2 linked regions of the Mus musculus genome follow. The protein of the gene in region 1 purifies or fractionates together with the protein of each later gene. This does not show direct contact. Links are inferred from orthologs where the notes say so. Each region holds a gene or a part of one and is shown in the gene's direction. Other genes may lie near its edges.

What was found.
Region 2: the proteins of Ccna2 (region 1) and Cks2 purify together in Homo sapiens (affinity purification with mass spectrometry; 3 studies listed by BioGRID and IntAct, counting the BioPlex papers as one, with this or other methods). This does not show direct contact. The link is inferred for Mus musculus from reciprocal best matches to the Homo sapiens genes CCNA2 and CKS2.

Annotation. Positions count from the first base shown.
Region 1 is NC_000069.6:36,565,435-36,571,876, reverse strand, and holds part of Ccna2 (cyclin-A2), read left to right. Parts: 5' UTR 1-53; coding exon 54-239; intron 240-897; coding exon 898-1,141; intron 1,142-2,787; coding exon 2,788-2,897; intron 2,898-3,065; coding exon 3,066-3,289; intron 3,290-3,945; coding exon 3,946-4,153; intron 4,154-4,763; coding exon 4,764-4,877; intron 4,878-5,202; coding exon 5,203-5,336; intron 5,337-5,594; coding exon 5,595-5,643; 3' UTR 5,644-6,369; coding exon of another isoform or gene 6,370-6,442. Other genes in the region: Exosc9 (exosome complex component RRP45), read right to left, coding at 6,370-6,442. UniProt on the Homo sapiens protein: Cyclin which controls both the G1/S and the G2/M transition phases of the cell cycle. Functions through the formation of specific serine/threonine protein kinase holoenzyme complexes with the cyclin-dependent protein kinases CDK1 or CDK2.
Region 2 is NC_000079.6:51,642,048-51,649,703, forward strand, and holds the start of Cks2 (cyclin-dependent kinases regulatory subunit 2), read left to right. Parts: upstream 1-3,184; 5' UTR 3,185-3,365; coding exon 3,366-3,424; intron 3,425-6,151; exon of another isoform or gene 6,152-6,287; intron 6,288-7,537; coding exon 7,538-7,656. UniProt on the Homo sapiens protein: Binds to the catalytic subunit of the cyclin dependent kinases and is essential for their biological function.

The DNA of each region.
Region 1 (6,442 bases):
AGCGGCGGGCGCTGTGCACGCTCTGCCGCCGACAGAACCGGACCGGAGCCGCGATGCCGGGCACCTCGAGGCATTCGGGTCGCGATGCGGGCTCAGCCCTGCTCTCGCTGCATCAGGAAGACCAAGAGAATGTCAACCCCGAAAAACTGGCGCCAGCCCAGCAGCCGCGGGCGCAGGCGGTGCTGAAGGCCGGGAACGTGCGTGGACCCGCGCCGCAGCAGAAGCTCAAGACTCGACGGGTAATAGGGCGCGGGGGTCTGGAGGAGGGCCGGGCGGGAGCGGTCCTGGGTTTAGCAGCCCAGAGGGCCGGAAAGCACGCTGAGCATTCCAGGGGGAGTCAGGCTGCAGTCTTCGCGGTCCGGGCGTTTCTAGTACCAAATAGTCCCACGAGCTCTGCCGACCCGTGTAGACCGCCCTTCGGCACTAGTGGCGCCGCGTTCCAAAAAATGCCCGGGGTCATACCAAGCGTTGCCACTCGCGTGTCGACTTCCCCCAGCTGTGTACCTTTCCCTCCACTTTTAAAGCCAGGCATTGCATTAGGATGTAGATCCCTTCCCCCTCACCATCTGCTTCCCAGATTACTACTTCAGGGAAGGACATAAAGCAAGTATTCTTCGTGGTAAATTCCGCCATTTTAGCCAGACTTGCTGTTTTGCTCCACCCTGGGGCTAAAGTTGTGAATCAGTTCTTTGCCCTAACTTTAGTCTTTGATTAGTTTGGAATTCCAGTCCGTTCTATTTATAGCCTTTGTAGAAATGGCTGTGACAGATCGGTTTACACACCTTTACCTGGGCTTTGCCTCATGGACTTATATGTTTCTTAGAGTATTTGGAATTAAAAGCTGATACCCACCGGGCTAGAAGCAAAGTTGTATTGAAAAAGATTCCTCCTCTTTAGGTTGCTCCTCTTAAGGACCTTCCTATAAACGATGAGCATGTCACTGCTGGTCCTTCATGGAAAGCAGTCAGTAAACAGCCTGCCTTCACCATTCATGTGGATGAAGCAGAAGAGACTCAGAAGAGGCCAGCTGAGCTTAAAGAAACAGAGTGTGAAGATGCCCTGGCTTTTAATGCAGCTGTCTCTTTACCCGGAGCAAGAAAACCACTGACACCTCTTGACTATCCAATGGATGGCAGTTTTGGTAAGGTTGCTTTTTATTTTTACCAGTCTCTCTTCCTTCTTTCCCTCCTTTCTGTCTTTTTATTCCCCCTCTGGGTTTCTTGAGTATCCTTGACTGTCCTGAAACTCAATCTGTAGACCAGGCTGACCTTGAACTAAGAGATCCACCTACCTCAGCCTCCCAAGTGCTGGGATTAAAGGCATGTGCCACAACCACCAAGCCTGTGCCTTTTATTTTTGAGACAGGATCTCAACCTGTAGCTTATATCTTGATATTTTGAGTTTTAAGATTATGTCTTACCCGATCATACACAGTGAGTTAAGATTACCGCAATCTCATGACTAGTACTGACCTATGAAAGGACTCAAATCTTTAACCGGCAGGAGGGCACTGCAAACCAACATCAAGTTTAATTAGATCGTAAATATCTATCTTAATCTGACTTTATAAATGTTTGGCTAGGAGAATAGATTTCAGTTTTGTGTCTGACTCACTCCTTAACATGCCAGCCCTAAGAGTGCTCCTTGAGGCTACAGTTTTAAGCATTGTGATATCTACCATTCGTTTAAAACTTGTTTGAATGTTCATCAGCTTGTAGGTCAGACACATGGAAGGCAAAATAGCTGCGGTAGACAGCTCTGCGGTTGCTATGACATCACTGCATGGAGACCAGAGATACTGGTATCTGTCACATTCTACCTTATGCTGTGTGTGTCAGCAGAAGGGGTGTGCTTGCCTGTGCTGGTACAAGTAGAGACTAGTGGAGTACTTGACTTTGGGGTATCTTCAACCACTCTTCCATCTCATTTCTTGATAAAAGGTTTCTTTGGAGCTCAGCGATTTGGCTAGACAGCCTGGCCATCGAGGCACAGGGATATGACTATTTTCAACCCTTTTCCTCTCCCACTCCTGGGGTTACAGATAATGCTTCTGTGTGGTGCTGGGAATGCAAGCCATATCTTCATTCAGGCATATGCAGCAGGCACTGCACTAAGCCATTTCCAGCCGCTTTAGTTTACTTAGTTCTGCTGATGGGGAAGGAGGATATGGAAACAGTTTATTACACAGATTCTCCCATCTCAAGATAACTGAAATGGTAAAAACTAGAGCTGAGTATATTAATGCCTATAAACAGCACTCAGGAGGCTGAGGCAAGATTGCCAGCCTAGGGCAACAGAGTCAGTTTCAGGCCAGTTTAGCCTATAGAATGAGACCCAATTTTAACAAACACCAAGTCCCTTACAGATCAGTGTTTGGACATGATATGACAAACTTGATATCTTTACTAACATTTGTTAATCATGCCATTTACCTGATTCTAATGACTCCCTCATTATGATCTGACTATGGCAACCCATGGGATCTGCAGTCTCTCTTAAGGCAAAAATAATTATTTTAAAACTTTGCTGTTACGTTCTTGTCCTAAAAGAACCATTGTTTCATCTGCTCATCTCTGTGGAGGATGATACTTTAAAGTAATTCTCCGTCTTCTTAGTAGCCTATTGGTGTACATACATGCATACATTTATTTCTGTTTTGGAACTAAGGTTATCCTAGAGCTTTGACAAAAGTCCTAAAACCAGAATTAGATGTTCTATGTTGCTTTGCTATTAGGGTGTTTTTGATTGGAAGAGATAAATACTTTGGTTTTAATCTCACACACACAGAATCACCACATGCTATGGATATGTCTATTGTCTTAGAAGACAAGCCAGTGAACGTTAATGAAGTACCTGACTATCAAGAAGACATTCACACGTACCTTAGGGAAATGGAGGTAAGGCTCTGCTCATTACAAATGGCTAAGTGAAGCAGAGAGGGTAATGCTGACGCCTGCTAACTACTAGCAAGTTACTCTAAACTTAAGATTATGGTGTATGCTTCTTTGTGAATGATGAAGTCACCTGATAATTATGTTAACTCTGATTCCCCCCCCCCCCTTCAGGTTAAATGTAAACCTAAAGTGGGTTACATGAAGAGGCAGCCAGACATCACTAACAGCATGAGGGCCATCCTTGTGGACTGGCTGGTTGAGGTGGGAGAAGAATATAAACTACAGAATGAGACCCTGCATTTGGCTGTGAACTACATTGATAGATTCCTCTCCTCCATGTCTGTGTTAAGAGGGAAGCTTCAGCTTGTAGGCACGGCTGCTATGCTGCTAGCTTCGTAAGTCCACCTAGTTTGGTTCAGAGTCATCATTCACTACTACTCCCCCCACACCCCCATTTATATATTTTTTGGATGTTTTGCCTGCATGTATATCTGTAGCACATGTGAGGTCCCTGCTGAGGCAGAAGAGGTCATTGGGTCCCCTAAGCTTGGTGTTATATACTGTTAAGAGCACCATGTGGGTGCTGAGAATTGAACCTGGGTCCCAGCCAATACTCTAACCATTGTACCATCTCTTCAACACCCAGTTTTAGGAATGGCTGTGGGATGATTCTGAACAGAGAGTGAAACTTATTTTCTAATCTAATATATAAAGCTTTCTAGATCTGGATTTCACATGCCTTGAATGAGCATAGGCCAACCACATTTTATCACACTAGATTGAGTTTGAAAGTGTGGCTCTTCTACAATAAAGTGCTTTCTGGGGTATAAGCTGTATCTTCCTTCTATCAGGAGATATTGTATGCAGGGGGCGAATCAGAAGTCCTTTAGTGACTTGGGCCTTTGAATTGGTTTTAACCATCTCAGCTAGAGATGTCAGTCAGCTGTCAGTGGGATGTGGTTGATGGAAGTGAGTGGAGTCTACAGTCTTTGCACTTCAGATTAAGACAAGACCTTCTGAATAAACTCACTCACAACTGCTTTTGTTATAGGAAGTTTGAAGAAATATACCCCCCAGAAGTAGCAGAGTTTGTGTATATTACAGACGATACCTATTCCAAGAAGCAGGTTCTGAGAATGGAGCACCTAGTATTGAAAGTCCTTGCTTTTGACTTGGCTGCACCAACAGTAAATCAGTTCCTTACCCAGTACTTCCTGCACCTGCAGCCTGCAAACTGTAAGGTTGAAAGCTTAGCAATGGTAAGTCCAGTTTGGGGGTTGTTTTTAGGTTGCAATTAAGGGGCAAGCACTGGTTTCGTCAAATAACACTGCTTAAGTCTTTTCGGACAGTTAATGCTCCAATACACAGAAAATGCTATGGCCCTCTCTACCTGTGGGCTCTGCACTTATGGTATAATAAACAGGCATTAAACGTAGCTGCCCATGTACTGGATAAGCACACACCAATCATATGTGTATTGTCTATTTTGTTTTACAAGTAATTCAGTGATATTCTATGTATATAGCATTAACTTATGAAAATAGCATGCATCTTTTATATGTAAGAGATTTAAGTATCTAGTGTCCATGGATAGGGGCTGAGAGGTTCAGGAGAGAACTTCCCAATGAATACACAAAAGTGACCATGCTGGAAAGGCGCTAACTAGTGGCTTAAAGAGAACAACCTAGTATATTAGGGGAGAGAAATGTAAGCTGAGAATAGAGGAAAACATTGAAATAATTTTCCCAGGGCTGATACAGAACCAGTGAGATCCAAGACAATGGAAACTGGTCAGGAAGCAAGGATTCAAAATCTTGAGTCTTATGTGTGATTATAAAAGTTGGGGTTTTGTTTTGTTTTTTATTTCAGTTTTTGGGAGAACTGAGTTTGATAGATGCTGACCCGTACCTTAAGTACCTGCCTTCACTCATTGCTGGAGCTGCCTTCCACTTGGCTCTCTACACAGTCACAGGACAGAGCTGGGTGTGTATTACCAGTTGCCTTCTCCAGTATGGGTGCCGCTTTGATTTGGGCTGAAAGCTTAGCTGTAAAGGTGCACTGAAAGCTCTGCTTCAAGAATCTGAGCCTTCCACCTGCTGCAAGCAGGGGAAGTAAACAGCCAAAATAAAAGATGGAGTGAGTGAGCTGAAACAGGGGGGACACCCTGAGTGAAGAATTGAGGAGGGAGCAACATTTAGAAATAACAAAACATCCTGTCAATGATTAGTGCCAATATTTAGATCAACTGTGAGCTTGTGGTCAGTGCCCTGTGCTGTTACAAAAAACTCAATGGTTGTCCCTTCCCTAGCCTGAGTCATTGGCACAACAGACTGGATATACCCTGGAGAGTCTTAAGCCTTGTCTTGTGGACCTTCACCAGACCTACCTCAAAGCGCCACAACATGCCCAACAGTCAATACGGGAAAAGTACAAGCATTCAAAGTAAGAATCCAATTCTTGTTGAATACAGTAACCTGCCACTACCTCAGTTGGCTCTTAAGTCATGTATTAGGAAGCTTTTGTGCCTTTGCTTCTGGTAAGAGAAGGGTAAGGGGGCAGATGTATGTGCTCTACGTATCAAATGTTTTTAAATTCATAATCAAGTAAAAGTAGCATTTCTCCAGTCTTGGGGTACATGAATTGTTCTGTAATCTCCCCAATGAATGTTTACTAAAAGTTTTTTTTTTCTCTGCTCAACAGATATCACAGTGTTTCTCTTCTCAACCCACCAGAGACACTAAGTGTGTGAGTGAAAGACTGCCGGCTTTGTTTGAAACAGGAGTCGCTCGGAGTCCATGCTGTACAGTTTTTATGTCGGGTTTTAGTTTCACAATCACTTCTGAATGTAGATGGTATAGCCACAGACAAATTATGGTATCCATTGCTTTTAAAATGGTTTTAATTTGTATATCTTTTGTACATGTGTCTATTTGGATAATTTTAATTGGTTAACATTGGTGCTGCCAACTGTCAAGATATTGAGAATAAACTGATTTGGAAATCTTTGCAAGTCAAAGTTAATCTGAGATAAAAATATGAATGATGTCGTTTAGAAACTAACTTGATTTGTTTTATTGTACAGTGGGGAGTAGGAAAAGATTTTATAAAACTAAAATATTTCAGGGAAAAAGACCTTCAAATTCTGGCATTGATTGATTATTCTAAGCAACCAAACCAAACTGCTGACTTGTTCATAAATAACCAAAAGTAGACAAACTGTTTTCAATGTAGCAGAACTCATTCGGCTCTCAGATGTTACAGTAGTTTATGGAGACATTTTATTTATCAACTTTAACAAATAAGGTCTTACATGAGTTGGGAAGCTTGTGCAACAGAAAAGTTTTCCAGAAAGTTTATTCAAAGCATAATGTTAAAGACAAACAGTGTATCAAGAAGTTCAGCTTGTAAGATACCCAGAGCTGTTAGCACTGAGTATGTATACACACACACACACACAGAGATCCACCACTTTAGCTTAGTTAGCAGTTCTCTTCTTCTTCTTCCTTTTCCCTTGGCCTTTACTTGGTGCCTTCTGGTTTGCACTGGTC
Region 2 (7,656 bases), on another chromosome or scaffold:
GGGGCATTTATCTCCTTTCACCGTTTGTGTCCTCTGGGCTGGACTCGGGTTACCAGAGTAGTGGCAAACACCTTAACCTACTGAGCCATCTTTCTAGCCTAAAAGTGTATGTGTGTGTGTGGTGTGAATGTGTGTTAGTGGTGTTCATACGGAAGCTGAAGGAGAAAGCTGAATGTCTTGCTCTACTATTCTTGGCCTTATTCCCTTTGAGACAGGATCTATGAACCTAGGACTAGACTGGAGGCAAACAAGCCTCAGCAATCGCCCTGCCTCCACTCCCCCACCCCACCCCCCCTTTATAACGCAGGGGTTACAGCCATGCATGGCCGCACCGGCTCTTTACATGAGTGTTGGATATTTGAACTCACAGGATTGGGCCATTGCTTCATTTCTCTCTGTTTGTACTGAATTCAAGGCAGCTGGCACTAATCAAAAGACGACTCTTCCCTATAGGTCTTCCAGATGAAAGCAAGCTTTCCCGGAGAAAGTCGAAGCTGTTACGCCTCCTAGGGACTAGTCTCAGATGTCACTTAGACTATTCTATTGGGTAAGGGCAGTAACACTTGCATGTAACTAACTCTTCAAGGGTGTGTTTTTGCTGCCTAGTTTGTAAATGTGTAACTTCCCTTTCAGGGATCTGTTACTGTGGCGGACATCAAGGACGCAGGTACACAGGATGAGGTTCCTGAGAGGGACTGAGGATACACTGTCTACACTGGCAAGTTGAACTTCCTGCTGTTGACAAAGCTAACAGAGAAACCTTAAGGGACTACTTCTAATGTTTCTTGATAAGAATTATGTTAACATCGGTCTCTATGGATACTCTTCCCAGTTAAACTTTCCCCTTCTTATAATTTCTGAGTAGTATTAATCAGTGCCTGGTAGGTAGACTTATTGAGTTTGAATTATATGTATGTGAATTTTATTATTTTTCTGCATCTATTAGAATACTTTTTGCTTTATAGTACTTACTTACTTACTTACTTTAATCCCAAGTGCTGGGATTAAAGGCGTGGGCCACCACTGCCCAGCCTCTCATTTGTTTCTTGAGAACACAATCTCACTTTGTTAACTTTAGCTGACTGGTACTATGTAACCCAGAGAGACCTTGAACTCTTAGCAATCCTTTTGTCTTAGCCTCCTGACCTATGGGATAAGAGAGTGAGCCAACATGCCTGGCAACTGTCTTTCAAAATACATCTGCTATAAAGATTTCCTTTTCCTTTCCCAGATTATTTATCTAGGAATAGAGACGACGACTACTTCTTCTTCTTCTTCTTTTTTTTTTTTTTTTTTTTTTTTTGGTTTTTTGAGACAGGGTTTCTCTGTGTAGCCCTGGCTGTCCTGGAACTCACTCTGTAGACCAGGCTGGTCTCAAACTCAAGCCTCTGCCTCCCAAGTGCTGGGATTAAAGACTCGCGCCACCACGGCTGGCTGGTATATTTTTTAAGAACCTCATTATTGAGTATCCACCATGCACAGGGACTCTACTGTGCTCTAGACATGGATAATAAACAAAGTAAGTATGCTCTCTACATTCACTGCATGGAGAATAAATAGTGCAGGGAAACAATGTGTAAGCCAATGTCCGTTCTGGTGAGCAGGAGATCTAAAGGATTCCCTATCAGTGGAGACTTGGAAAGCAGGGCACTTTCTCTAGATCAGCTGTTCTCAATCTACTAGACTCCCATGGGAGCTGAGTATCAGAGATTTACAATTCATAACAGTGGCAAAATTATAGTTATGAAGTAGCAACAAAATATTATAAAGTTAAGGATCACCACTTGCATCAAAGGGCTGCAGCATCAGGAAGGTTGAGAACCACTGCTTAGATAGTAATTAAAGATCTTTCAGAACAGAACTCATACCTCCATATTATTTGTGTTATAGAGTGTATGCTTACATCCTCCTATTTACATGTTGAAATTTTAATCCCACCTGTTGTCTCACGTGATAATATCGGTAGGCAATTAGCACCTTTATTATTTTAGTGCTAAAAATAACTTTAAAGTTGTGCAAGAAGTCAGACGATCTTGTGTTCTCTTTAACTGAGGGCCAAGTGAAGTCGGGAAACCTGTCGTTAAAAGATTGCAGGCACCTGATTACCCAACTCTATAAAAAAATAAAATTGTAGTTACATGCTGACTTCCGTTTTTATTATTTTAGACAGGATCACACTTTGCTATCCTACCATCTGTTAAAGATATTAGGCTGAAGCTGGACGGTGATGGGGCATCCACTTTTAATCCCAGCACTGGGGAGGCAGGGGCAGGAGGATCGCTGAGTTTGAGGCCAGCTTGGTGTACAGAGCGAGTTCCAGGATAGCCAGGGCTACACAGAGAAACTCTGTCTCAAAAACAAAACAAAACAAAACAAAACAAAAAACAGCCGGGCGGTGGTGGCGCACGCCTTTAATCCCAGCATTTGGGAGGCAGAGGCAAATGGATTTCTGAGTTCGAGGCCAGCCTGGTTTACAGAGTGAGTTCCAGGACAGCCAGAGCTACACAGGAAAAGCCAGTCTCCGAAAAAACAAAAACCAAACCAAACTAAAAAAAAAAAAGGAGGAGGGAGGGGTGTTGACCTGGCATTGGAGTACAGGGATTAAAGGTGTGGGCCAGTACGCCCAGCTGCCGTGGGTTACTTTGTTATCCTAACAGCCACACCAGAGCAATTCATCCACTGCAACAAATCGCAAAAATATTAAAAGAAAAATGACACCTGCTCATTGTAGAAAATGGTTGTTATATGTAACTTGCTGCACGAAACCACGACTTAACACCCTTTCAACTTCCTTTTACATGAGCACATCTTTTTAAGATGGGACTAGCTCGCAGCCAAGCGTAATTAGCGTTGCCATCAGGGGCAGCGGAGGGCACCTTACCCTCTGGAACGCTCCGCAGCTGGACTTCCCTGACCACAGAGACCGCCCCCCAGGCGTCTCGTGCCGCTCCGGCCCCCAGAGCCCCGGATACCTCATCTCGTGTCCGCCCACCACCCAACGGTTCTGCCCCCAGGCACGTTCTAAACCACTGCGCACGCGCTGCGAGGCACTTAACGACTCGGCTCCGCCCTTCTCAATATCTCTTGGGGTCGCCGGGCGCTCCTCGCTGAATCGTTAGCCAATCCTTACTCCCGCCCTCGCAATCTTGCAACAGGCTTCTGATTGGTTACCTGTCCTCGAGGTCTGCGCGGAGCGTGATTGGTTGGTGGCTTCGCCCAATCGGCGGAGGGCTGTCGGATTCAAATCCAGAGCGTTGGGCCTGCGGTCGTTGGCCTCATTCGAGTCGTTGCGTCGGCCCTAGGCGGACGTAGAGCCCCTTGCGCCCGGTTTCCTGATCCCGCTTACTCCTCTGCGCGCCGGCAGGATGGCCCACAAGCAGATCTACTACTCAGACAAGTACTTCGATGAGCACTACGAGTACCGGTGAGGAGCGCCTGCGGAGGAGGGCCGCGCTGGGAGGTCAGACCTGGTGGTCGGGACTCGGACCCCCTTAGAGGCCTCCGTCCGTCCGGGCAGCCTTGCTTTGTGTAGTGTTGCGGGGATCGCAGGAGATGGGGAGTCGTTAGATGGGTGGGCAGCGCCTAGTCTGGGAGTTCACGACCGCAAACCGCACTGGCCCGGACTGGCCGGGAGGGGAAGTCCCCGGAAACGCACCCGACGGGCATTATCGAGTGTCTGATGGGTAACGGCTCCAGACGCTGTAACACGGGGCGTTGTTAAAGGGCTTCAAGATCAAATTGAAAACTCGAGATTGCCTTCGGAAGGATTGGGGTGGTGGTGGCTACGTTACCTTCAACTGCTAGTCCATATTGGCCACGTTTGGGGCTTTTGAGGAAGTTTTGAGTTTTAAATCCTGAGATGCGCAGGAAGGTAGTACCTACGTTAATATAATTAGCAAATGGGATTGTGGAAAGTAAGGGAGGATTGTAGTTAACTTTATTGTATCCCTTATGACTTGGGGTGTGGTTTCAAAGGCCTTTCCGTCGCTGGGTTCTTCTGGGTTGGGATTAGAGCGTTGCATTCTGGGACACAGTCAAGGACTCCAGGTGGGTAAAACCTGTTCCTCCCTTGGGCAAATAGTGACCTTGTTTTCTGTTTGCTGCCCTTTTAGGTTAGTGTCCAGAATGCTGTTTGAGGGATGAGACACTTTTTAAAAGAGTGGCTTCACCGCCCCACCCCCCATTCTCTCAGTCCGCTAGTGTAGAAGTCTTCACAGCCAGAAAACTTTTTCCAGGCTGTTTGACGATGCACTAATGCTATAAACTTGAATGTTCTTAAGTAGGGAAGTCTCATGGGTTTTTTTTTTCCCCCTTACTAAAAAATTTAAATACATAACAGTCTTTACATAGTAATTACAAACTTCACAATGGTAACCATGTGATAATTGGCTTAATATTTGGTCGTTATAGTAACTCAGAACTTGGTTTGGAAATATCCAAAAATGACCGAAAGTAATTGTACTGTCTTTCTAAATTAGGCAAATAATTATTTGGATGGAAATGTTTAGCATATGGGTTTATATACATTTCTTTAGTTGTCAAAGTGAGATAGTTTTAGTTTCTAAACTTGGAGTATATAAGTTGTGCGTGTTTTGGGGAGCAACTGCTGGTCTGTCTTAAGTATTTTACTCCAATATAAAGTAGGAGCTAGTTTATTACCCACTGGAATCCAGAGGTCAAAAAAAGTGTTTTATTTTGAAACATGAAGTGTTTAAGCTTGCTGTTCTGCCTTAGCAGTTGCTGAGATGGTGGGTGTGTTGCCACACTAGCTTGAGCTTAACTGACCAACCTTTACAAAAGAATTAGAGAGGTGCTCTTGACAGGGACTGTGTACTGGTGATATGACACAGAGGTGTGAGTCTAGGGTGTTTTGTTTATAGTAGAACTATGTGTGTTGGATAAAGTTCAAAACTTAGTGATTTTGTGAAGGGGTGATTACTAGGAACAGAGTAGACTGCTCCTCAAATATCATGGGAGTCCTTTTGGGCATTTTTGAGGGAGTCTCCATAACCCAGGGTGTCCTGGAACTCCATGTAGACAGCTCTAGCTGCATCTGCCTTACTAGTCCGGGGAGGGACCTGTGTGTCATCAGGCCCAGCCTGTCCTTACAGAAATAAAATGGAGGATTTCTTTGCACTTGAGTCATATATTGCACTTTTTGTATTCCAACAAAAACTGGGTTCTGAGAATAGTTTTCCTGGTACATGATCAGTAGTAATATACAAATAAAATCATGTACATTATAAATGACCCCATATGAAGTGCAGCCTCTTGACATGACTTATCAGGTAGGAGATACTTGAGGCTCCTTGTATCTGAATGCCTTGTAGAGACAGTACTGTTTGTGAAAGCTAATTGACAAGCATAATGTCTGTCACTTAAGGCATATCAGTGGCCGGGCGGTAGTGGTGGTGCACGCCTTTAATCCCAGCACTTGGGAGGCAGGGGTAGGCAGATTTCTGAGTTCAAGGCCACCCTGATCCCAGAGTGAGTTCCAGGACAGCCAGGACTATACAGAGAAACCCTGTCTCAAAAAAAAAAAAAAAAAAAAACGGGGAAAAAAACCCCAGAAACAACAACAAAGACTGATATCAGTGGAAAGATAAGGTCATGGGTTATTTTGTACAGTCTTGATTATTGGAAGTCTCTCTGAACTCAAATAGGTGCCCTGAAACTTGGCAATCCTTCCTTCCTCCACTATGATATATAGCAGCAAAGCAGTAACAGTAACAAAAACATTAAGCAGTATTTCAAGAATGAGTGGTAACTTGTGTGGGTAAGAATATTTATTTAATATGTGCCTGGAAATGGCAGTGATGGCACGTAGTCATCGGCCTTGTGGTAAAGCTGGTTAAGGATTATCTGCGCTCAAATCCACAGCTTAAAACCTGTTATGGGCAGTTTGGTGCTTAGAGTGGACTATGGACTGCACTATCCCAATTCCAAAAGTCCAGAGCTGAATTTGCACCTCCATCTCAGACTTGACTTATACTGGTCAAAAAATGTTAATTGCTAACTTTGTGTAAAGTTAAAACCAGGGGTAATTAAAGTGAGGCTGAAATTTAGAGATACTTTGTGGTGACAATGCTTTATGCAGGCTAGGGTACAAATTTGCTTGTGTATATATGTGTTAAAATTGTGTTTGTTTGTTTTGGCCCTGAATCAAGGCCGCAGTTTACTGAAGCTGTTGGTTTCAAGCAGGAGCCTAAAGAAATATCTTTCTATGGTCTGTTGGCCATTGCAGAAATTTGTAAGTCTAATGGTCAATTCATTAGAAAGAAACACCTGGATGGATGTTGTACCCAATTCTGTAATTGTAGCACTTGGGAGCCTAAGGCAAAAAGATAGTTTGAGGCCAGTTTCCACTGCAGCATGATAAGGAGTGGGGGCGGGTCTCAAAGAAACAGCTGAGTCATTAGTGATAGATATGGCTAAGTCTCCATGAGATTCTAAGATTTCTGTATAATACTTATACATTACTGGTTTAGCTTAATTGTTCATTAAATTATATGTTAGATCCATTAGTAGGAAAAAAAGATTACTGGGGGGTGGGGGGGAGCCCGGTGTGGTGGCGCACGCCTTTAATCCCAGCACAGAGGCAGGCGTATTTCTGAATTCGAGGCCAGCCTAGTCTACAAAGTGAGTTCCAGGACAGCCAGGGCTATACAGAGAAACCCTGTCTTTGGGGGGAAAAAAAGATTAGTGTGGGTTTTCCACAGAAAGGAAAAATTGTGTTGATAATGGCTTGATACTAAAGACTTAAGTGCTTCCTAACGTTCTGGAAATGCACTTTACTGGGAAACCAACGGTCACATGAAGTTCCAAAGGCATATTTTTGCTTTTAATTTGGAGCGTGAAGCAAACTGGAATATATACAAGTACTACAGATTTAGTATTGAATAACAGGGAACACATTAACTTAGTTTGGTTCCCCCCCCTCCAAGCCCCAGTACTAAAAGTTTAGTAATCTCAGGTTGAGGTGACAACTAATTCTGGGACTAGGCTCCTTACTCTTACATATAAGTTACATATAACTCCCTTTTAGACTGCCTCTGACTTTCTCTTGCTGTTCTAGCTATCCTAATACCACCAGTCTATTTAACAGGAGAGAATATTTTTTTACTTGGGTATGGTCTTGCTCTTTGAGTATACTTTCCAGTACATGAATATTTTCTACCTATATCCTATAGACCAAGAGTTGCTTCATGACTTTTTAGATTTTAAGGTCCTATTCCTAGAAGATAGCTCAATAACAAGTATTCTGCTAGAAATTTACCCCTACAGAATAAAATGCCTTTCATTTTTGTGCAACTTATATTGGCCTAATACTTTAACATAAACCATCAAAAGCCAGAAGTATATGCTATAAGTATAGATCGATACAGATAATATTGTAGTGTAGAGTTGCTTTAGAGAATTTAGTTTGTTTTGAGGATAAAAACCCTTCACAATTTCAAGTATCTCAAAGGTAAGGTTCCTGTATAAAGTGATGTTGGTGGGAAAGATGGCACTAATCTTTGGCTGAATATTTTAATAGGCATGTCATGTTACCCAGAGAACTCTCTAAACAAGTACCCAAAACTCATCTGATGTCCGAAGAGGAGTGGAGGAGACTTGGTGTCCAACAGAGTCTAGGATGGGTTCATTACATGATTC